4 linked regions of the Schizosaccharomyces pombe genome follow. The protein of the gene in region 3 binds, or shares a complex with, the protein of the main gene of each other region. Each region holds a gene or a part of one and is shown on either strand. Other genes may lie near its edges.

The links.
Region 1: tfb2 (region 3) and ssl1 share a complex: the UniProt entries of both Schizosaccharomyces pombe proteins name them as parts of the 7-subunit TFIIH core complex.
Region 2: tfb2 (region 3) and rad15 share a complex: the UniProt entries of both Schizosaccharomyces pombe proteins name them as parts of the 7-subunit TFIIH core complex.
Region 4: tfb2 (region 3) and tfb4 share a complex: the UniProt entries of both Schizosaccharomyces pombe proteins name them as parts of the 7-subunit TFIIH core complex.

The regions. Positions count from the first base shown.
Region 1 is NC_003421.2:381,667-387,523, reverse strand, and holds ssl1 (transcription factor TFIIH complex subunit Ssl1), read right to left. Parts: upstream 3,334-5,857; 5' UTR 3,052-3,333; coding exon 2,834-3,051; exon of another isoform or gene 2,704-2,833; coding exon 1,656-2,703; 3' UTR 1,477-1,655; downstream 1-1,476. Other genes in the region: meiotic pumilio family RNA-binding protein Mpf2, read left to right, coding at 1-1,400; SPOM_SPCC1682.06 (uncharacterized protein), read right to left, coding at 4,386-4,711, 4,757-5,147. UniProt on the Schizosaccharomyces pombe protein: Component of the general transcription and DNA repair factor IIH (TFIIH) core complex, which is involved in general and transcription-coupled nucleotide excision repair (NER) of damaged DNA and, when complexed to TFIIK, in RNA transcription by RNA polymerase II.
Region 2 is NC_003424.3:661,343-668,596, forward strand, and holds rad15 (transcription factor TFIIH complex subunit Rad15 ), read left to right. Parts: upstream 1-3,005; 5' UTR 3,006-3,439; coding exon 3,440-5,758; 3' UTR 5,759-6,305; downstream 6,306-7,254. Other genes in the region: MAP kinase kinase Byr1, read left to right, coding at 6,811-7,254. UniProt on the Schizosaccharomyces pombe protein: ATP-dependent 5'-3' DNA helicase, component of the general transcription and DNA repair factor IIH (TFIIH) core complex, which is involved in general and transcription-coupled nucleotide excision repair (NER) of damaged DNA and, when complexed to TFIIK, in RNA transcription by RNA polymerase II.
Region 3 is NC_003423.3:3,750,836-3,756,641, forward strand, and holds tfb2 (transcription factor TFIIH complex subunit Tfb2), read left to right. Parts: upstream 1-3,064; 5' UTR 3,065-3,234; coding exon 3,235-3,557; intron 3,558-3,602; coding exon 3,603-4,623; 3' UTR 4,624-4,882; downstream 4,883-5,806. Other genes in the region: protein smp2, read right to left, coding at 637-825; ESCRT III complex subunit Did2, read left to right, coding at 1,526-1,541, 1,582-1,601, 1,642-1,719, 1,922-2,068, 2,111-2,179, 2,235-2,306, 2,359-2,559; the13 (acyl-CoA thioesterase), read left to right, coding at 5,098-5,583. UniProt on the Schizosaccharomyces pombe protein: Component of the general transcription and DNA repair factor IIH (TFIIH) core complex, which is involved in general and transcription-coupled nucleotide excision repair (NER) of damaged DNA and, when complexed to TFIIK, in RNA transcription by RNA polymerase II.
Region 4 is NC_003423.3:1,316,968-1,322,254, reverse strand, and holds tfb4 (transcription factor TFIIH complex subunit Tfb4), read left to right. Parts: upstream 1-1,678; 5' UTR 1,679-1,761; coding exon 1,762-2,572; intron 2,573-2,634; coding exon 2,635-2,717; 3' UTR 2,718-3,185; downstream 3,186-5,287. Other genes in the region: ERMES complex subunit Mmm1, read left to right, coding at 1-168, 213-303; double-strand siRNA ribonuclease Eri1, read right to left, coding at 422-721, 784-1,189, 1,251-1,358, 1,436-1,515; ips1 (GIDA family tRNA uridine 5-carboxymethylaminomethyl modification enzyme), read left to right, coding at 3,879-5,287. UniProt on the Schizosaccharomyces pombe protein: Component of the general transcription and DNA repair factor IIH (TFIIH) core complex, which is involved in general and transcription-coupled nucleotide excision repair (NER) of damaged DNA and, when complexed to TFIIK, in RNA transcription by RNA polymerase II.

The sequences.
Region 1 (5,857 bases), on a different chromosome or scaffold from region 3:
ACTCATTACCATCGATCCGTACCAATGTTCGATATAGCAATTCTAAACCGTCAACACCATTATCTCCAGAGGATGTCGATCTTGGAACTTATACAGTTAAGAACCGTGATAGTTGGTCGAATGAAGTGAATCTCTCGGCATCCACAAATAACTTGAGTACGAATACGTCTGGCACGTTAAAGCCATACTCACTCAGCTCTTCTCGGAGTTCTTCGTACTCGAAAGGAGTAAATAGTGCCGCCAGTTTACAGTCCATATGGGAAACTATGAATAACTCGAACCCATCTGTCATCCCCGAGTCTACTTCTTCAAGAGAACCAGCTGCCCGATACAGAAAAATCTCTGAAAGGAATGCTGTATATGATTGGAATGTTATAATTGATAAAATTATTGTAAGCAATGATCAGCAATCTTCGATATTCCTTCAACAGAAGCTGAAAATTTCTTCTTATGATATGAAACAAAACATTGTTGATTCCATAATATCTCAAATCCATCCTCTGATGCTTAACCGCTTTGGGAATTTCTTAGTTCAAAGATGTTTTGAGCATGGCACTGCCCCACAAATTCGACAAATGGGATCTGCCATGTTGGGAAATATGTTAAAATTGGCAACAGATCCTTTCGGATGCCACGTTGTTCAAAAGGCAATAGATAATGTGACAGAAGATATTAAACTGGCTATGATGGACGAGTTATTCCTCACTATTGATGTTACAATAATGCACCACTATGCATGCCATGTCTGGCAAAAATTGTTTGAAACGCAATGGTACGAGTATCCAGTTAATGTCATGAATCGCGTAAACAATGCCTTGAGAGGAAAATGGCACGAAGTTGCAGTCGGGGAAAATGGAAGTCTCGTAGTCCAAAATATGTTTGAGAACTGTGTAGAGAAAGATAAGCGTGAATGCATTGAGGAAATCATTTTTCATTTAGACGGTATTGCACGTGGTCAATGGGGAAACTGGGTGGTGCAACACATGGTAGAAAACGGACAAGGAGAGGATTTGAAAAGAGTCATTGATGCATTATTGAATCGTGCAGTGGAATTTAGTATTGACCAATTTGCCTCTAAGGTCATTGAAAAAGCAATTAAGTCTGGCCCAAAAAATTTCATTTCCTTATATCTAAAACAAATTACAAACGCGAGAGTTGACCGAACAAGGCAGCCTTTAATCGATATTGCATCTGATCAGTATGGCAACTATTTAATTCAGCAAATAATTCAACTTGGTCAACCAGCTGAGAAAAACCTTGTCATTACGCATATAAAAAAGCACATGGTTTCTCTTCGGGGAAGCAAGTACGGTCAGAAGGTTGCTTATTTAGTCGAGAAATGGAATTCTCAAAAACAGGTTTCCTCTGTAATCAACTACAACTGCAATACTGACCTCTGATCTGTAAATATAGGGATATATTCATTTCCACATTTTAATTAGTTTTTATTTTATATATGATACAGCTCTAACACTTACTGAAGCATCAATAGATCAAATTTTCACTATCTTCCGGATAAGGTAGTTAAGCAACGATCTCTTTAAATAAGTAAATTGAAATATATATCTCTTTACATATTTGTGAATAAGTAGCATAATAGTATTTTAAAATAATTATTATAAATAAATGCGTTCATTAATATACCAAAAGAAACTTTAATTTCCGGAGCATTGGCATCCATAACACTCATGAAGTTGTTCATGCGCAAAAACATCGCAATCCAAACAAAAATGATTTTTACACGAGGGACATGCATACCGCATCGATGAAGTAGATTCGTCAAACGGTGAAACCGGCGGCTTCGGAAAAGGTAACTGACACGCAAAGCAATGAGTGGACTTTGGATTTGCGGACCAAGGAATTTCGCTCCAGTTTTTCAATGGAAACAAATGATGATAAGATCGAGCAAGATGTGTTGAAAGGATTAGAACGAGAGAACAACTAGGGCATTCGATCGGTAAAGTACAAACTTTTGCTTTACAACGAGGACAATGAAACCCACCACGAGACGGAATTGAATGGCAAGCACAAAGACTTGGCAATTGCTCAACGACCTTAGAAGGAAATCCCATCATTACCAAAGAAGCATCAGTGGTTTTAGCCGAATCAGTAGCAGGAGGTATTGTGCTTTCGAGTAGAAGTTCGCGAAAATGTTGTTCACTGATGACTACGCCGTAGGCATTTTTCGTAGATGAGTTAGTTTTATTACAAATTTCTTTACAAATGGCGACTTCAGCAGCCAAACCAACGATACGGACACGAATAGAATCATGAACCAGAGCATCAATCGTCTTGAAAATGTCGCCAGGGTCTGATGATAAGATGGAACCAAAAATGATAAGGACTTCTCTAGTGCCATGGGAAGCAATGTGTGATAAAGAAGCTCTAGCCATTTCGAGAGCATTTTGAAGAGAGAAGTTTCCACTACAATCTCGAAGAGATTTAAGCTTCTGAATATGCGATTGAGGATTCCCATGCAAATCAGTTATCCGATGAGCGATTCCATCCATTACGCCTATAATCGATAATTGGGAAATAGGATTTTGTTCAAAAAACTCAAGAACAAATTCAGAAGCATACTTTATCTGAAGGTCGAACCGCTTATGATGAAAATCACGCTCCTCCATAGAGTTGCTCAAATCTAACACCAAGACCATGTGTCTAATAATACCTCGTTGTAACGGAGTTGTATCTCTAAGAAGTCTAAATCAGATTGACAAGTTAGTATACCGTTCATCGATGCTATAAAAGACTAATATGTTTCCAAATGCCCAACATAGGCAACTAACAAACAAATGAAGAACATAAGAAAACCAATTTTGATACGCCATACCTTTTACGTTTCCCGCTTTGAATAAGCCCAGCGATAACGCCTACTAAACTACCCTCTGCGTCCTCCTGTACGATATCCCAAGAACGCTGATATTCACCTTCCCAAGTATAACCCTCATTATCGTCAGTTTTCCTGCTTCTTACTTTAACTCTTCCATTTTTTTGTTCATCCTCGCTTTCCGACTTGTCAGAGTCAAAACTTTTTTGGTTCTCATTCATTGAGTGTTATTTTAACCGAGCATAGGTATTATGCCAGAACGCTATTTGATAATTAGATAAATGAATATTGCACAAATTCTATTCCTTGGTTTCTACAGACTAAAGAACTCAAAGCGAATGTATTTCTTCAAGTCACGTTTTACCCAGTGAACTTTTGGTAATTTGAATAGTCGCGTCGAGTTGCTTTACATGCAATGAGCGAAAGTTCTTTCTTTTATTATTTTTAGTTTTATTTTTTTAAAAAGCAATGACTCCTGGGCATACCAGTAAAATGGTAAGACTAAGTAAGTACTAGAACAAGAGACCATTTACACGAAGACAATACGGACAAGGAGCGCAACCATTATTTGTTAAATATAATAATGAATTTCGTTATGCTGCGTTAATTCGTGTTTATCAGTCTTTGATTTGTGATATGAAATTTGTATACAACTATTTCTGTTATTTGAAAAAACTTAGGAAATTATGAAAGTAAAAGAAGAATATAAAATAAATCTGTACTCCTCATTCTTTAAGGATGAGTTATATATCGTATTTTATAAAATTATTTATGGCTCGGTTATTTGTACAAACTGCATATTGCAATATAGTAGAGACTTAGAAATTTGCAAACTGCGTAATTGCCAATATTTTATGTAAAGCTACAAGTGATATGGACATAAGAAGAATAATTACTTTTCGCTTAGGCTGAATGTTGGATGGTTTGCAGGACGAAAGAGTTCATTTAATTGATTTTCTCGAACAGAAATTGGCTACTGACTAGGAATTGCGAAATCGCATTGTTTAAGAAGTTCTCGTTCTACTCCAAGGTCGATTTTTTCGTTTTTATTTGTCTTAGAAACAAATTTCAACTTATATTTGCTGTATATACTGGTTTTTAAAACTCCAAAACTTGAGAATGATGAATGGAATCCTTATTTCGTATATATCCAACAAAAAAAAAGGTTAAATCACTACTTTGCATCTTTTGAGTAATGTCTTAATTGAACAATTTTTTAAGTCGCAAATCTTACAAAGTCACAATTAAGGATTGTATATCAATTTGGTAAAACAATAAAGAGGATGATTAATCTATAATTGACAACAGATTCATTAGTTAAATGAATTTTCCTAGCACCACAAATACACATCGTGTTTGCTCTATAACAGAGACAAAAATAGTGATGACTGTCATCGAAAATGATTAAGTGATGATGCATATAAGATAATAATACAAGGAATAGAAATAAAGGAGAAAAGTGACTTTTGCAAGAAAGTAAGAAAATTAGTGATGAAATAAAAAAAACCCTCGCAACTGTTGGCAGCCCCTTGATTTTTTTCTCTAGCCATGACTTTTAGTTGCTGCCCGATTCTACATCTTTAGAAGTGTTGCAATCGGTTTCCTCAGCCATTGTATTGTCACTTGCTGGCTCTGTGGTAATTGCTTGGCCTCGCATAGACGACATTTCAACGTCGCCAGTCTCTTCATCTTGTTCTATTACTTCGAGCCCGAGAATAAACAACAGTAAGGATAAAATAATATGAGCCAAACCTTGAATTGCTTTAGCTACATATTTAGCTAGGCCTGCAATCGCTTTAGCTAGACCTTCATTCGCTTTAGCTACAGACGGTGCATAAACATAAGCTTCTTCAAACGCTAATTTAATTAACGAAAATGAAACTAGAAAATCGTTAGTCATGAATTCAAATCATCTCAAAAACTTACAATAAACAATAATCACTGTCATCACGTATGTAAATATTAACACTATAGTTTCAATAACATATTTAACCACAGAATTAAGATCCGCCAATGCCTGATCGAAATAATTATAAAAATTATGATAAAGCAATAAAGTAAGAATGAAAGGAAGGAAGATATGAAATATCGCATATCTAGCTTGTGTAAGTCGCACATTTTCCGAACGCTTTCTTAATCTAGCAGGTGCAGCCATTGTATTTTTTTTTCGTAACGATGGTTGTGTTAATGTTGAGTTTTGTTTGACAATTGGATTGTTTACATGATTATTGACTGAATATGAAGGACAAGAATGTAAACAACCCTTCTCCAAATCATTCCAAACTTCATTGTATTGAGGTAACTTTTCGTCTGGCATTTTGAAGAGCCTTTTACCAATAGTGATTATATACGTTTGAGTTTCAACTTGAACATTGCAAAATAAAATGCGAAATTAAAATATAAAATAGATAAATAGATCAAAACCAAACGCTTGAATAGCCTAAAAATCCACGCGTTCTAAGCATCCAACAAAAAGAGATGGCTCTTGTTAAGGAATGAAATTGAATCATTGTGCTGTCAATATCAATTTACGCACAAGTTAGCATTAATTAGGTACTGCGTACCAATACGCTATAATAGCGATGCCTTGCTTCGTTTTATCATACTTTGAAAAGTATGCAACACTAATTGCTAGACAGTGAGCTACACTAAAATCGCTATTAAACATTACGTTACGCATCAAAATACACTACATGGAATACCATGTCAGCAATACTACACTACGCTATGATACACTACGTTGAGTATCACTATATGTCACATGTTCTAATTATATATCGTACCATGTATGATACGATATGGAGATTGATCTTAATGATAATCTATTAAGATCAATATTATCTGAATACTATAAATAGAGCTACTGCTGAACCTCGTTCCTCAGTTCAGTTATGAGCTATATTAGTGATAGGTAACATTATAACCCAGTTAATACAATACCTATACTCAGTTGCTACTTATACAACCTGTGTATTGTAATATAATAGGTCACAAGGAAAACTCACCGCAGTTCTACGTATCCTTAAA
Region 2 (7,254 bases), on a different chromosome or scaffold from region 3:
GAAATTGTAATTAAGCAAAGGAAAAAAATAGGCAACAAGGCATGGTTGTAGCTGCAATTAAGGGACTAATGTGTCGTGAAACTCAAAAATGTAAAAAAAAGAATGACAATCCCCTTGCATAATTGAATTACCCGTTGAAATTTTTGGGAAATCCGGTTACTGCAGACGGAAGTTGAAAGTCAACTTTATCTCGGTTCTTTTTTTCCTTTTTTTTTTTTTTTGCAACTTCCTTACCGGCACGCAAGGTCCGTCGCACTTCTGGACCAGGAGTAAACTGCTTACTTATTGAAAGAACAAAGAAAATTTTAACCTTTCTTTAAATACGCTTTCTTTTCTTTTTCTTTTTTCAGGCTATTTTTTTGCTCCTCCCGTCATCCCTAATAGCTAGTCGGCTTTAACGATTATTATTTTAGGAGATGCTAAAGTGCAGATTGACGGTCTTGTTCGTAATTTGCAATCAGTCTATGTCATGATCCCTGACCTCAGTACAGTGGAAGCTGTCTGGCTGGCAAGGGTAAAGGCTAGTAAGTACTATCAATTATGTATGTCAGTTGTGGATGGGGAATTATTATTGAGACTTTTTACAAAGTGTCAAGCTCGAGATTTGGCCATTACATGTCGGTAAAGCAGCTGAACAGCGATATGCCGTTCATAAAAAAGCGTCAGCACAAGTGAAATCAAGTGTCATGACATGAAAGTCTAATCGGTTATTTGCAACATTAACCGAAACTTGTAGAAAATGCGCTCTTTGGCAGTTGAAAAACGCAGACATTACAGATGCTATAAATACATAGTATTAAAAACATAATAACAAATAACAATAACATGTTAATTAATCTTGCTATACATAGTAACATCTATAAAACGCAGTGTAAACAGAAATCATTTTGACATGAATTTCTTATGTAACAAATGAATCTTCCATCTTTAAAGGGAAATCCGATCGCTGTGTTCTCAAGTTATCGACTCCTTTTTCTCATAGCAAAGGCTGAGCAAGCAATCAAAGCTTTTGCTCCTAGGATTATCTAGGACGATGCAACTTCAACATTCGTTGAACGGACCGCATACCCATTTCCTAGGTTCAGGATTTAAGCTTTGTATTGTGTTGTGTGGTAGTACAATTAAGCAAAAAGGAACCGAACCGTTGGGGCTGAATATTGTTTTTCACTATCAAACAGGTAATAAGATATATATGAAGCAAGCAACTTATTTGTAAGCCTAGCTAAATGCTTTATCAATATAAACTCGAGGGAAATATTGGTAGCATAGTATTCCTTTAACTTTTCTTTTTTTTTAAATTAATTTTGATTTCACTTTTTAGTTAACGAAAAGAATTATTTTTTATTTAATAATGGCAAGCGGAGTTGTTTCAATCCAATATATTACATTTACCAGTAAAAAAATTCGATACTTTCCCTCCACCGTGTTAAATTGCTGCATTTTTTTGCATGTTACGGGATGTAAGGAAATAATCTCAAACCAGTCATCCTTACTTTGGTTTCCTACATTTAATGAGCCATGCCATCTATCCTCTATTTCAATACCTTCCTTCCCATTTTTTTCTGCTAAATCGATATGTTGTTTTTTAAATACTCTTTGTTATTAGTACTATATATGCACTATTGATTTTGCTAGCAATGTATTGTATTATTTGTATGTTTTGTAGAAAATAACCTACTCGCCAACCCAAAAATACCAGTTGTTTCCGACAGCGTCATTTATTCATCACACTTTTCCGAAAATCGGCTTTACAAGTCCCGAGTAAAAGTGAATCAAGAAACAGCTACCATGAATTTGATCAACGATTTTGAGTAACCACAGAAAAACTCAGTATGGCCCATTACGGTTGGAATGGGTCGTTGTTATGAATGCCATTTTCTTGTTACCGAGCGGCAAACTCCAACAGTATATTGTTTTGTAGCATCGCTAATGAATGATTCGTTAAGTTTGTTTTCGTGGAATTTCATGCTCTTCTTTTATACCCGAAAGCCGGATACTCGTCGATATACTAGATGTGTAGTGAGTTAATTAATTAGCCAGAAATTAGTGAATGGGAGAGATTTTTAAAATATCAAGATTGATCATTACTAATCATCTTTCATCTTTCACAATACTTGTCATCGATGATTGATAGAGATTGCCAAGAGACATTAGGTAAAATAAAACGTAACAGTTTTGACGATCTGCTGATTTGCTTGATGTCAACCTTGGGTATGTTTTCATTAAACATGATTGCTGATGGGTTTCATAATTCGTGAAAAATTGATAAAGCACTTTTCCTTATCATCTACACATAAGTGAACAGGCAAATCAATCCGTATTGTCTCCTCAACATACGGAATGTCATTAAAACCGGTAAACTGTACTAACCGGTGATTACGGGATAATAAAAAACCACTTCATTCATTTCAAAAACTGTTGATATAGTATTCTGTATGATTTCAAGAAGATAACTCTTCGGTGACTTGCTGTTTATTGCTCACCTGGCGATTCTAATTCCTTTTATTTTTTATCCTGATACGTATGTATTTGTTTTTCCCTCTTTAGAATAATATTCATTAAGCTTGAATAAGCGGTTATTAGTTTGCAAATGATTCAGCAGCTATATGTGAGTTTGCCCTTTTTCACTTGTCTACAGAGTCGGGAATTGACTTGTAAAACAAAATAAATGGAATATTGCAAATGTATTCTTTTTGCCTTGTGTTTATTTAGGAGTAGTATTGCGGAAACTTGTTTTCAGAAAACAAAGTAGCGCTTATGCTCGGTAACTACGAAAATACGAATTTTTTTTCCAATAAACTAGTATTTATTAAGCAATTGCATCTTCCATTAACCATGTCATTTCCATCAATGTATAGTTGTATGTACACCATGTATTTACGAATATTATCCAATTTAACGTACTTTACAGTATTTTGCTTATAAATGTTTACCGTACCAACTCAGCGTTCTTCATAATCCAGTTCTATATGCACTACAAATATAAAGCAGCCACTGTTAATTTCAGGACTCATTCTTTAAGCTTGGATCGACAAGTAGTTTCTCCTGAGATTCTCACTGTAAAGTAGCTCACTTAAACCTTAGGTCAGAATTATTTCTTGGTTCGTTTTGTTTTACCCTCTTCCATCCCATGTTTATTTATTTATCTTTGTGAACTTATTCATATTTGTGTATCAGTGATTGACGACTAAATATTGAACCAAAGCAGAACCTACCTCATTCTTATAATACCCATAAAAATTTATTTCTCGCTTTATTCATTTCATTTTTATGAAGCGATTGTTAAGCGATCTTTACCCACTATTATTCATCAATGCTAGTTCATAATTCTTTTGTTTCAACTTTTTATCTTATTATTTAATTCCTAAATTTTTTTTTGGTCCAATAGGCTGTCATATACTCAAATTAATTTCCTCAAAGTCAACGGATTACACCCATAATGAAGTTCTATATTGACGATCTACCTATTCTGTTTCCTTATCCACGCATCTATCCCGAGCAGTATCAGTATATGTGTGATTTGAAACATTCTTTGGATGCGGGAGGCATTGCGCTCTTAGAAATGCCTTCGGGTACTGGAAAGACCATTTCTCTTTTGTCCCTTATTGTTTCATATCAACAACATTATCCTGAGCATCGCAAGCTCATCTATTGTTCACGTACCATGTCGGAAATTGATAAAGCATTAGCTGAATTGAAGCGTTTAATGGCGTATCGGACTTCACAGTTAGGATATGAAGAACCATTTTTGGGTCTCGGACTAACCAGTCGCAAAAATTTATGTTTACACCCTTCTGTTCGTCGTGAAAAAAATGGGAATGTGGTAGATGCCCGTTGTCGCTCACTTACGGCGGGTTTTGTGCGGGAGCAAAGATTGGCTGGTATGGATGTTCCTACTTGTGAGTTCCACGACAATTTGGAAGATCTTGAGCCACACAGCCTTATATCTAACGGTGTTTGGACCCTTGATGATATCACAGAATACGGCGAAAAAACTACACGATGCCCCTATTTTACTGTACGTCGTATGCTACCGTTTTGTAATGTTATTATTTATTCGTATCATTATTTACTAGACCCCAAAATTGCTGAACGAGTTTCTCGAGAACTCAGTAAAGATTGCATTGTTGTTTTTGATGAAGCACACAATATTGACAATGTGTGTATTGAGTCTTTAAGTATTGATTTGACAGAATCTTCTTTGAGAAAAGCTTCGAAGAGCATTTTGTCTCTTGAGCAAAAAGTCAACGAAGTAAAACAGTCTGACTCAAAAAAACTTCAGGATGAATACCAAAAGCTTGTTCGGGGCCTTCAAGATGCTAATGCCGCAAATGACGAAGACCAGTTTATGGCGAATCCCGTTTTGCCTGAGGATGTTTTAAAGGAAGCTGTTCCTGGAAATATTCGACGAGCCGAACATTTTATTGCATTTTTGAAGCGTTTTGTAGAATATTTAAAAACAAGGATGAAAGTTTTGCACGTTATTGCTGAAACACCAACTTCTTTTTTGCAACATGTTAAAGACATTACATTTATAGACAAAAAGCCGCTTCGGTTTTGCGCTGAGCGACTCACTAGTCTTGTTCGTGCCTTACAAATTTCACTAGTTGAAGATTTTCATTCTTTGCAGCAAGTAGTAGCTTTTGCGACCCTTGTTGCTACTTATGAGCGTGGATTTATCCTAATTTTGGAACCCTTTGAAACAGAAAATGCTACAGTTCCCAATCCAATATTGCGGTTTTCCTGTCTTGACGCCTCAATAGCTATTAAACCAGTTTTCGAAAGATTTAGGTCTGTGATTATCACGAGTGGTACTTTATCCCCCCTCGATATGTACCCCAAGATGTTGCAGTTTAATACTGTTATGCAGGAATCGTATGGAATGTCACTTGCACGAAACTGTTTCCTTCCTATGGTAGTTACTCGGGGTAGCGATCAAGTAGCTATTTCTTCAAAATTTGAAGCCCGTAATGATCCTAGTGTTGTTCGCAATTACGGTAATATACTGGTTGAGTTTTCGAAAATTACACCTGATGGCTTAGTCGCATTTTTTCCAAGTTATCTCTACCTTGAAAGTATTGTTTCTAGTTGGCAAAGTATGGGTATTCTAGATGAAGTCTGGAAGTATAAGTTGATTTTGGTGGAAACACCAGATCCTCATGAAACAACTCTCGCCTTAGAGACTTACCGGGCTGCTTGCAGCAATGGCCGTGGAGCAGTATTGCTGTCAGTCGCTAGAGGAAAAGTCTCAGAAGGAGTGGATTTTGATCATCATTATGGTAGAGCAGTAATCATGTTTGGTATTCCGTATCAGTATACTGAGAGTCGTGTTTTAAAAGCACGGTTAGAATTTCTGAGGGATACGTATCAAATTCGGGAAGCAGATTTCTTAACATTTGATGCCATGCGGCATGCTGCCCAATGTTTAGGTCGCGTTTTGCGTGGAAAAGATGATCATGGAATTATGGTGTTAGCAGATAAACGATATGGTCGGTCTGATAAGCGTACAAAATTACCTAAATGGATTCAACAGTATATAACCGAAGGCGCTACAAATTTAAGCACTGATATGTCCCTCGCTTTGGCGAAAAAATTTTTACGAACTATGGCACAGCCTTTCACTGCGTCTGATCAGGAAGGGATTTCTTGGTGGAGTCTTGATGATTTGTTGATTCATCAGAAGAAAGCATTGAAGTCTGCGGCTATAGAACAATCCAAACATGAGGATGAGATGGATATTGATGTGGTTGAAACTTAATAGAAGCCATTTGTAAAATACTTTGATTCTAATCATCTTTACTAAGGCAATCCAAAACTCATGAACACAGCGATGAAGATATTTGGAAGCGAATGGCTAACTTTTTTGTAGGTGTGGACAATGTATGTATCAACTTGTATTCGAGAGTTGTATAGTGGACATTTCAATCGTCATCACGATACGCATGCTACTTACGAATTGTTTTAAGATCGCAGAGCAGAGAAAAAATATTATTTACACTCAGTTGGCAATTAATTTGCGAGTCGCTAAATTCGAAGTACTTTAAAATTTTTTTAGAGACTGTGTTCAAATAAAATCGGTTTCAGTTGTTGTAATGCTTCTTAAATTTTCCATCCCATCAATAACAATCCAGCGTTTCAAAGAGTGATTATTGGCAATTTCATGCTGCTATGGAAATTAAGCTTACATTAAGCGAGCTAGTTAAAATACGTGATGCAGTAATTGTAAGCCTAGTTATATAAACAAAACATCTGTTTATCATTTAGATACATAAAACAAAAGTTTACATATTCATAATATATTCTCATAATCTAAAAAATTTCCTTGATAGTTTTATGTCGATAAAATTAGTCTCCCATACTTAGTTCTAAATAAATGAACGTTTTGGGGTTGTACAACTGATTCATTGCTGTATTCTATGTAATATATAAATTTCTTGAAAATAAAAAATCTTTTGGTTTTACGGATTCACGGTTGGCTTATACGTAATTGCCAAGCACATATAAGATCAATGATGGTTTCTTTACCAAACTACTGTATAAAAAAATTACTCTAGCACAAAAAGGATACCGCTTTCAGGAATTCTTAAATATAGAAAAAAAAATAAGTGTAGCTTATTGCAAGGGTTGTCTCTAGTCACGTTGGGGTAGTCAGAATCCTGTCATAACTACTGCTTTGTATCTTTGATTAGCAAAGTAACTTATTGAATACAGTCAGCTGTCAAATTACAGAAAAAGAAGCAACTTTAATAGTATCTTAAATGATATAATCTTCGATACAGGTTTCTTTGAGAATTTGGCCAATAGCTAGAAATGTTTAAACGACGTCGAAATCCAAAAGGTCTTGTGTTGAATCCTAACGCCTCTGTTAAAAGCTCTGATAATGATCATAAGGAAGAGTTAATTAACAATCAAAAAAGCTTTGAATCCAATGTCGAAGCATTTATGGAGCAATGTGCGCATATGAATCGACGCCCAGCTTGGATATCTGATTTGGACAATAGCAGTTTGGAAGTAGTGAGGCATTTGGGAGAGGGAAATGGTGGGGCTGTTTCATTGGTAAAGCATAGAAATATTTTTATGGCTAGGAAAACAGTTTATGTTGGGTCAGACTCTAAACTTCAGAAGCAGATTTTGCGAGAGTTAGGTGTTCTACACCACTGTCGTTCACCCTACATAGTCGGTTTTTATGGAGCTTTTCAGTATAAAAACAACATTTCATTATGTATGGAATACATGGATTGCGGATCGCTTGAT
Region 3 (5,806 bases):
TTTTCCTTTCTTCCCAATGCCCAAATTATATCATATTTTTTCAAGTTGGTATTCTTGCATTTTGTTTGCTGCAATTATCGATTGAATATCAAAACCTTGTTAATTTTTCTGCGCCTGTTCCTAGAGTCCATGAAATTGTTCTTCTATCATTATCTTTAATCTGATCTTTTCATGACACGTTGTTTGCATTCCGGATTGCTTTTATGTTATAGAGTAGATTACTTGTTGAAAAAGTCTAGCATGTTTCAATGAGCATACACACTCTTCGTTGATGCTCATAGCATGAATGGTTCACTTTATAAACTTGTAAAGGAGATTTTTTTAAAGATTGTAAAATTATTGAGTTTGTTGGAGCGAGAAAACTATCGGGCTTTTTTCGTTACAGATTTTTCTATAGTTTAGATTTATCTTCTAGTATATATCAAGTTACACAAACTCAATTGTTGTTGGCAAGCAAAATGGTTTGGTAGTAATTTTCATTATTCGTTAATGCTATTATGCATTTCTTTGATAAAATAGTTCAAGAAAGGTAGTGGTTTGGTACCCTTCGTTTATTGAAGTAAAAGTTTGAAGGGTTGAGGAGTATGTGCAAGCACGCCATCAATATGCTGCAGATGCAGCTGCATCTATATTTTATTACCTTCCCGGTATAGGTTGCTTCTTCTTATAATAAAGCGATTTGCATGATCGAAAGCCCTCCTTCGAGCTAGGTATTATGGTGATTAATTCTCCATCCAGTGTATAGTAGTTTCCTTGATAGAGTTTTGCTTTTTCTTGGAATTGCTTTGCATCCTCTACAAAATGATTTTCCTTATTGTGCTGCATGTGAATGTGTGCAAGAAAATTGGTGTAATGGATTAGTAAACAAACACATTACAATCCACTTCATATTGCCTTGCGGCTAACCAAGTGATTCGGTGTATTTAATCACCGAGTTTTTTTTTGTTTATGCGAGGCAATTTTTGATTTTATTAAGCATATAGGTAGAATTTCATATTCAATTATTTATCTCGATACAAAATACATGGTTGAAGAGCGGTGTCCTTTGCATCAACGTTTAATATAAAAAAATAAAAATTGTATTGCTCTTGAGCTTATCCTTGAGAAGTTGAGTAATTAACAAAATTGTCTAGAAGTTGGAAAAATATTAAGCAAACTAAGTTAAACTTCCTCATGTGTTATCAATCCATTTTTATGCTGACAGATCGTCTTCTACAAAAAAACTGGCAACAATAAACTGGGAGGTTATTGAATTTTTAAACATCGAGCCACTAATTATTTATCTTTTGAAAGTCTTATTTTTTATAATCTGCTAATTATATTCTTTTGTTTATGGTGTTTACGCTATCATAAACTAAGATACTGTCAATTTTAGACCCCACTATCTTCCTTAGTGAAGTTGTTTAATTTTGTTAAAATGCATTACGAGTAATGTATTAAGAAGTTCTAAAAATCATCAGCCTTACTAGCAGACGCTCAATCAATAGAATTAGCATTATACAGCTAGCTTACCTTTACAAACAAAATGAGCAATTTAGAGGGTAAGTAAGTAATTTTTTTGATAATTGATTAACCTGAAAGCATCTCTGTTTCAATTAAAGGTATTTTCTTAATTGAAGTTTGTTTTTAACAATGCGTTAGTTTGCTGCAAAGTCGCTGAATAAACAATCACTTAAAGCTGCGAAAGAGGAGCGTGCTGAACGGGAAAAAGTGAAAAAGGTTTGTTTGTTGTAATGATTGCTATTTCCAAGCATGTCACTATCAATGAATTTTTTTACAGCTCATCTATCAATTGCTATTGTAATTCTTGGTGGTTTTGCAGAGTCTTGGTTTTGTCGATTATTCCATCTTCATATGATTTGCTAGATAAAAATTTTTTTTTACTTTTTGGCGTTATTCATTACTAACTGTTATTACCTAGGCTATCACAAAAGGCAACTCAGAAATTGCCCGCATATATGCATCGAATGCAATTCGGAAGCAGCAAGAATCCCTTAATTTGCTCAAACTTTCTTCAAGAATAGATGCGGTTTCAAGTCGTTTACAGACTGCTGTAACTATGCGTGCTGTATGTTAGCAATTTAACGTGGCATACTTATTGACTATTTAGGTGTCGGGAAATATGGCAGGTGTCGTTCGGGGAATGGACAGAGCTATGAAAACAATGAATTTGGAGATGGTGAGTTCCTAATTCTCGTAGAATGAGTTTTTTTTCAAATGTTTCTGACCCACAGATTTCACAAGTCATGGATAAATTTGAAGCGCAATTCGATGATGTTAATGTTCAAACGGGTTATATGAATAAGGTAAGTTTCCTTGATTAATCATATTTCAAGACTAGAACTAACACTATATAAGGCTATGGGATCAGTGACTGCTGTCGATACACCCCAAGAAGATGTAGATTTATTAATGCAAACGGTAGCTGATGAAGCTGGTTTGGAATTTAACCAGAATATGAACAATAATCTTTCGGTTCCTGCTGCCAGTGTTCCTACTCCCGCCGCTCCTGTAGAAGATGACAACTTACAAGAACGTTTACGTGCTTTAAGGTCTTGATGTATAATTCCAGTCCAAATAACAAAATTTTTTTGCTGCATAAATGAAAGAGTTTAATTACGCACAATTTATTCAGCTGATACGGAAGAAGTTAATTAGATGATTAAGGATTTATATGTTTTTCACTGATATTTGAAAAACAAATTATTTTTCTCTCGAGGGTCATTTATCCCGCGGTTTATTTCAACCAAGCATGCATCTCTAATGGTCTAAATAAGTAATAGTACAGTAAATATTTAACGTAACTGTAAATATTCAGAACATTTAAAACAAATCTTTTTTTTTTTAAAACTGACTTTATTTAAAACTTAAGTATGAATGATTGTTTATATGTTTTTATCTAATCACGACAATTCGCAACTTGGGCATAAAAGTTTGAATTGTAATAAATATGTACACAGGTTAATGTAATTATCAGCAAAAAAAAATTGTTATTGTCATTGTCGGAAGCTTTGGCTTGTTATTCTAGCCTATTTAATACCAGTAATTCGACTCGCTCTTGATCACCATCCACCTTCGGTCTCGCGATGATTGCTTATCTGGCATTTATGGAAGATTGATAATCGTAAATAAGTTTATTAGTTGAGTACACTGGATTTTGTTCTATTCAGCTGAATAAAGAGAGATTACAACCGCCAATTTAAACCTTTTGAAGTAGGTTCGCAAATTGTCACCATGCAAGCAGAATTCAAGTCTAGTATCAACGACTTCCTGGAACAGTTACCAAATCATGCAAGGCTTTACCAAAAGCCAGCTGCTTGTCTTGCTGTGTTTCGTTTATTGCCAATTCTAGCTAGACAGTATGTCATGTCTATGCTTTTCAATCCTATGCCAGTAGCACTCTCAGATTTCGATTTATGGATCAAACTTTCGAGTAAAGTTTATCAATCTGAATCCTTCAACAAACTGGTTAGGATGCATATATTTCAATTTGATGGACAATATATCACTCTAAATAGTGAATTTCGCAAACAATTTATAACTGCTCTGACTGGAGGGTAAGTTTTATTGAATTTTGAGTATAAACTAATTAAGCTTTTTAGAGGAAATCACAATTCGTTTGGCGTGCCATGTACCGATGAAGACAAGCACTTGGTGACGGTTGATTTTCTTGACGCATATGCGAAAGAAACTTGGGAAACAATCTTGCACTTCATGGTAGGAACTCCGGAAGCTAAATTTCCTGGAGAAGGTGTCTTAAGTCTATTAAAGCGGGGCGGTTTAATGTCTGGTCCAAAAAACCAGCTACGTATTACCCGTGCCGGTTTTCAGTTTCTGTTACAGGATATAAATGCTCAAATTTGGACGTTACTTTTGGATTATTTAAAACTATCTGAAGACACGCATATGGATCCTGTTCAGGTTTTGCACTTTTTATTTATGCTTGGAAGTTTGGATTTGGGGAGGGCATACTCAGTGGACTTCTTAACAGATACACAACAAATCATGCTTGAAGACCTAAGAGAATATGGATTAGTTTATCAAAGAAAAATTACTTCCAAGCGTTTCTATCCAACCAGACTGGCAACAGGTCTGACAACTGATTATCGCTCATTGCATGGAAAGCAAAGTGAAAATGATGATGATAAAGGTTTTATTATTGTAGAAACAAATTACCGATTATATGCTTACACAAGCTCCCCATTACAGATTGCCATCATCGGATTGTTTGCTAACTTAAGGGCGCGTTTTTCAAATCTTGTTGTCGGTGTGATAACTCGGGATAGTATTCGTCGTGCTTTGATGAATGGAATTGCAGCGGAGCAAATTATTACATACTTGACAACTCATGCTCACCCTCAGATGAGATCGAATGTTCCTCTTTTACCTCCTACATTAGTAGATCAAATTTATTTATGGGAATTGGAAAAAAATAGACTTCGGGCTACTCCTGGAATTTTGTTTCGCGATTTTCTTACTGATTCTGGCTTCGACCAAGCAGTAGAGTACGCAAAAGAACTCGGGGTTTTGGTTTGGGACAGTTCCTTGAAAAGAATGTTTTTCATAACTACGACAGGCGCCCAGCCCATGATCGCATACTTGAAAAGACGAGCTGTCAAATGAATATTTTTTGGATGGTTCAAAAGAGAAGTGGTAATTAGAAAATATTAAATTAATCTCAAATCACTTGTAAGTAATTTACTGGTGTCAATAAACATATATATAACATAAGCTCAACATTAGCCATGTTAACTATACGCGTGTTGGATATTTATACGAAATTCAAGTTTTAATGATGCAACTCTTTAACGTTCAAATTATGAATTTCTTCTTCTCGTCATTAGAAAAAAAAAATATCCGTTATTTGAATAATCCAAACAATATTCATATTCTTGTATTTAATGTTCATTTAATTATATTACCATTTGTAATAATGATTTGGTGATATTACTATAGGCAGGCAAATGGCTTGTAAATCCTTACTAACTACAAGTATCGCTGCTGCGAGTAGCCAAGAACTGCCACAACATAACCAATTCACCTGAGGTACTTACTTTTACAGTGATTGATACCTGTTAAACGAAGTTTTAAGACACAATGGCAATTAATAGCTCTGGTACTAAGGTGCTTTCTTTCGTTCGTTCTGTTTGGCAGGATTTTGTAAATACCAATGGGTTTGATGCTCATGTAGTCAGTGATATACAAATTATAAGTGCAGTTCCAGGATTTGTAGAATGCTCTCTGAAACTGCAGAAGCATCACCTAAATCGTATGGGTAATTTGCATGGCGGTTGTATTGCAGCACTCACTGATTTGGGAGGAAGTTTAGCATTGGCCAGTCGAGGGCTTTTTATTTCTGGCGTGTCAATAGATATGAATCAAACTTTTTTACAAAGTGGTGGTACTTTAGGTTCATCAATTTTACTGCACGCAAAGTGTGATCGATTAGGATCAAACATTGCTTTTACGAGCGTTGATTTTTTGACATCTTCTAATGAGGTCTTTGCTAAAGGTAGGCATACTAAGTTTGTTCGAAATGCTTTAGGAGATCCTAGAAATTGCCTTGACTTAGCCGAAGATTAATTCTGCCTATATTTTATATCTTTCTCTGGCTATTCGCTTTTTCTGCTCTGTTTTACTCGCTAATGTTGATATGTTTTACACGATTTTTTCAGTTTTCATAAATTTAGGAATTAAAATAAGGGATTTTGCTATCCGTCGTTATCTATTGTAAGCTCATGTTATGGTTCGGAACATGCTCGCGTTTTAGTTTACAGTCACCGGTTTCCTTTTAATAACGAAACTT
Region 4 (5,287 bases), 2.4 Mb from region 3:
TGCATATATGAACTTGTCATTTGACCCCAATTTCGTGATCTCGCTACAAGTAAGTTCTCTTGTGGGAGCTAGGTCAAAGCTTCAAGACATTCCTAAAATTACACAATTGATCGAATCAAGGATTCGACAATGGTTTACTAATCGTTGTGTTTCTCCTCAGTTTCAACAGTAAGTGAGAGTATGAATTGATTCATACTAACTAATTCCCACAGGATCGCAATTCCCAACCTATGGCCAACCTCTGCAAAAGAAGGACATGCGAGGTCCCATGCACCTCAAGAGGAGTCATCTAATGAAGATTAAACATTCTTTTGACGTAATTTTCGGAAATTTTTTTTATCTATGAATTTTAACGATAATTTATCTCTACCAGATTCCACGAAATATATTGATTATGAAGTCGAAATAAAAATTTTAAGCATTAGCTTGCGAAATATGGCGGGTAACTTCGATTCGGAATCCAGCCGTTCTTCTCATATTCCATCCACCACCTATTGCATTCGAATTCTACGTTTTCCGAACACATTTTTTTAACAATTCGTGATAAATTCCTCGCATCATCTATTCCGCGATGCTCGCTTCCCTCAAACTGAAGACCCCAATGCTCTAGCATTCCATTAATATTTGTGCGTGGAACGCGATAAACGTCTTTATAGAAAGACCTAATATCTACGAATGGTCCTTTGATCCAGTCAGGAATTGGCATTTTATCATATTTGAACTGATAATACGATTTGTTAGCGAAATGTGAGACAAACCGAACAAAATTATATTAACACTTACTTGTTTGGCTAAAAAGGACGCCATATCCCAAGGACCATCACAAGCCCAGGCCCAATTTTTGGGCTGTGTTCTGGGTACGGACTTTAAGGGTTCTATAATCTCAATTTCATCAACTGAGGGAACTAAAATATTGGAATGTTTCCGCAAGAATATGAATAGTTCTTCCAAGACATCTGAGAAGATAGGCGCTTTATCAACAGTGCATTGTTGAATTCCTGTCAGTGATTTACAATAGTCAGACAAAGTAGGATTCATGGATGGGCGAACGTAAGAATGAAATTCGTCGATTATGGATTTTTCTATTAAATCGAATAGAAGACATGGTAATTCTATGATCTCGTTTTCGAAGCTAAATCCGCAACCTTCTTCACATGTAGCTTCGACGTCCACAATTAGCAAGTATCGTCTACAAGTATTCAGTTACTGTTAGATAGAAAATGTTTAAACAATTGATGATTTAACCCTACAAACAAGTTTTGTTTTCATTACTAGTAGAAAACTTTTGATAACGTTCTTGTTTTCGTTTTTCTTCAAGACGTTTTTCACGAAATTTCCATCGCCGTTTCAGTTTTTCTCTTTATACTGTGTAAATAATTAATTTATATAAACTCTGAGAAAACGGACTAATTGCTTCTCAATTTCAGTAACATACTTGTTTCCATTCGTACTCAACCCAAGTTCTTGTAGTGCTATACGAATTTCTTCTACCGTAGACGGTGTTTTTTGGTTCATCTCGTCACATGGAAAAGGCCAAACTAAAATCTGCACTGGCGACTCCATAAATTTTTTATATTTTTGGAATTACTTTACCTTTTATTTCATTAGATAAACCATTTCATTATAATGGAATATAAATGTTTTTGAAATAACACTGTTTTGTTGGCAATCTTTTTTTGAACCCTACACTTTTTCTGGGTTGTTGTCTACCTGTATTAAAGTTGGGAAAGCATTGAGAAAAAACACATTATAAAAAGAGGGATGGATGAATTTCAAACTTTGAAACAAAATGCCTCGTGGGATATATCTGAAGACGCAAATGATACACCCAGTTTGCTTGTAGTTATATTAGACGCAAATCCTGCCTCATGGTACTCCCTTTCCAAAAAAGTGCCTGTTTCCAAGGTACTGGCAGATATTACGGTTTTTCTAAACGCACACTTAGCTTTTCATCATGATAATAGAGTTGCTGTGTTAGCTTCACACTCGGACAAGGTTGAATACCTATACCCTTCGATTGCACCTGAGCAAAAAGTCGCAGAAGTAGATCCTACCAAGGAGGCAAATACGTATCGAAAGTTTCGTGAGGTAGACGACTTAGTTTTATCTGGGATGAAGCGACTCATGAGTTCGACTGATAAAGTTTCAAGAAAAACGATGATTTCCGGAGCACTATCTAGAGCCCTTGCATATATCAATCAAGTTCAAAATAAAAATACTCTTCGTTCTCGAATTCTAATTTTCTCATTAACTGGTGATGTTGCTCTTCAGTATATTCCTACTATGAATTGTATATTTTGTGCTCAAAAGAAAAATATTCCAATTAACGTTTGCAACATTGAGGGAGGCACCCTGTTTTTAGAACAAGCAGCAGATGCCACAGGAGGGATTTACTTAAAAGTTGACAACCCCAAAGGCTTACTACAATATCTCATGATGTCGCTTTTTCCGGATCAAAATCTTCGAAAACACTTAAATACCCCAAACCAAGCGAATGTTGATTTTCGAGCTACATGTTTTTGCCACAAAAAGGTTTTGGATATTGGCTTTGTTTGCTCAGTTTGTCTATCAAGTAAGTAGTAACAAAGCTTTACGATAGGCTTTGAACATTTGACCTTTTGCTAACCTCTTTAGTATTTTGTGAACCACGGGTGCATTGTTCTACTTGTCATACCAAATTCACGGTAGAACCTATGTCAAAAAAATTGCACACTTGATAATTCGTTATATTATTATTAAACTATATATTTCTTTGTCTCACACCGGGTGTACAGCTTTATCATATTTGAAACCCTGTTTTTCATTACCTAAATCTCCTTATCCTGGTGATTTGTACAGTCTAGCTCTTTTTTTTTGGCGATTTTTACTTTCTGGCATTTTGATACACTTGAAATGTTAACATTTTTCGGAAGGATCAAACTATTTCCTTAAGGGGCATCCACAAGTAGAAACTTAACGTATAAGCAACTAATTCATTCCAACGTACCCTATTATTATTTATTTCCTTAGAGCTTCTTCTATTATTTCTTCAAGTTGCATTGGCTTCTTTCTTTTCCAAACAGTGCAGTAAGACGAAATTATATACTATTCTTTAATTAATTTACTAACGAATCATTAATGTTGAAGATGCTGACAGAAATTATTTCACAGGAACTTTCCTTTCTACTGTTTATAATCTATTGCATCTCTAATGTTGGTGCTTGATCATTTTAACAATGGCTTTTTTTAAGCTTTTTTAATCAGAAAAGTTATATTACATTGAGATCTATATGAATGCAATTTATAATGAATTGGTTTGATTATTGTAGTAAGGTTACGAATCTTGGTTTTTACATGTAACTCAACCTCTGAATTTCTGTACTGAGCAATAAAAGCGCGGATTGATAATTCATACTAATAGAGCCGGTTTACTTTTATTTGCCCGAATATTCTCAAACTCACAAGTGACGACAAGCTTGAAAAAAAAAAAGTATTTTCTTAAATTCGTTTATTCTGCAATCAGATATTCATAGTTTTTAAAAAAGGAAAAATAATAAAAAGGTTGTAATATATTTGTTCTAAATCTTCAGATTTCAGACGTAAATTAGTCTGATTAACCTTAGGAGCATTACAACCATTGCCTAATCTGTTGATAGATTCAATTACAAACTTCTGACATCCTGAATGTCTATTTTCCACTAATTTTAGAATTTTTGATTGACTGTGCTTTTTAACAGCTCTTTCCCGACTATATAGCGTTTTATTTCAGCAAGACCTCAACAACAAATTTATCATTAACCTTTACGCATAACTCAAATATATTTTGTGCATTTTTTTGTCGGTACTTTAACAAAAGGTCCTTATGTATGTTTTTGAAATAGTTTATTTGGGGTGAACAAATGTTTCGAACAACAAAGCGATATTTCTGCACCTCCTTCAATCGCCGGAAGAATGTCGTAGTGATAGGAGGTGGACACGCTGGCGTGGAAGCCGCTGCTGCTGCTTCTAGATTAGGTGCGAAAACTACTCTTTTAACAAAGTCCTTCGACAATATTGGACAAATGAGCTGTAATCCAGCTTTCGGTGGGATTGGAAAAGGAACACTAATGCGAGAAATAGATGCCTTGGGTGGTGTTGTCAGTGGTGTCTGCGATGAATCAGCAATTCAATTTCACATGTTGAACCGATCGAATGGACCAGCTGTATGGAGTCCCAGAGCACAAATGGATCGGTCGGTCTTCAAAAAAAATATGCAAAAAACTATTTCAACTTATAGAAAAAATCTTCAAGTTAGAGAAGGCGCGGCCGTCTCTATTAATGTTTTGACAGAAGACGATGGTAAACAAGTTTGTGATTCAATTGTTCTTGAAGATGGCACTGCTATTCCTGCCAGTTGTATAGTCATTACTACTGGTACTTTCTTAGGAGGACAAATAAATGTTGGTTTAACACAGTTAGCTGCTGGTCGATATGGCGAGCGACCTTCATTGCCTTTGAGTAAATGTCTTAGCAATTTAGGTTTTAAAATGGGTCGACTAAAAACAGGTACACCTCCCAGATTGAGCTCTCCCATAAATATATCAAAAATGACAGAGCAGACAGGTGACGAAATTCCAGAAACATTTAGTTTTTTAAATTTGGAAAGGGATTTTTCACCGGCATTGCCACAACGTTCTTGCTACAGAACTTATACAACTGAATTGACGCATGAAATTGTTAGGAAAAATCTCGCTTTTGCTCCCCATATGCTTGCTGGTGATATTCTTTCTCCAAGGTATTGCCCGTCATTGGAAGCCAAGGTTACAAGATTCCCTCACAAAGCAAGACATCTTATTTGGCTGGAACCGGAAGGATTGGACCCCAATTCTTGGTGGTATCCCAATGGTCTCAGTAACTCAATGCCTGAAGAAATTCAGCACAATATAATAAGGTCTATTCCAGGCCTGGAGAATTGTAATATTGTGAGACCAGCTTATGGAGTTATGTATGATTATGTTATCCCCACCCAACTAAAGGCAACACTGGAAACAAAAAAAATTCAGGGTTTGTACTTGGCCGGTCAAATAAATGGAACGACGGGTTATGAAGAAGCAGCAGCGCAAGGTATCTTAGCTGGCTTAAATGCAGGTTTAAGTGCTCTTGGTCGTGAGCCAGTAGACATACCGAGAAATACAGCTTTGCTTGGAGTAATGGTCGATGATCTTATTACAAAAGGTGTGAAAGAACCTTATAGGGTGTTCACTTCGAGAAGCGAGTATAGGTTAACTACACGTGCTGATAATGCTGATTTAAGATTGACTCCATTAGC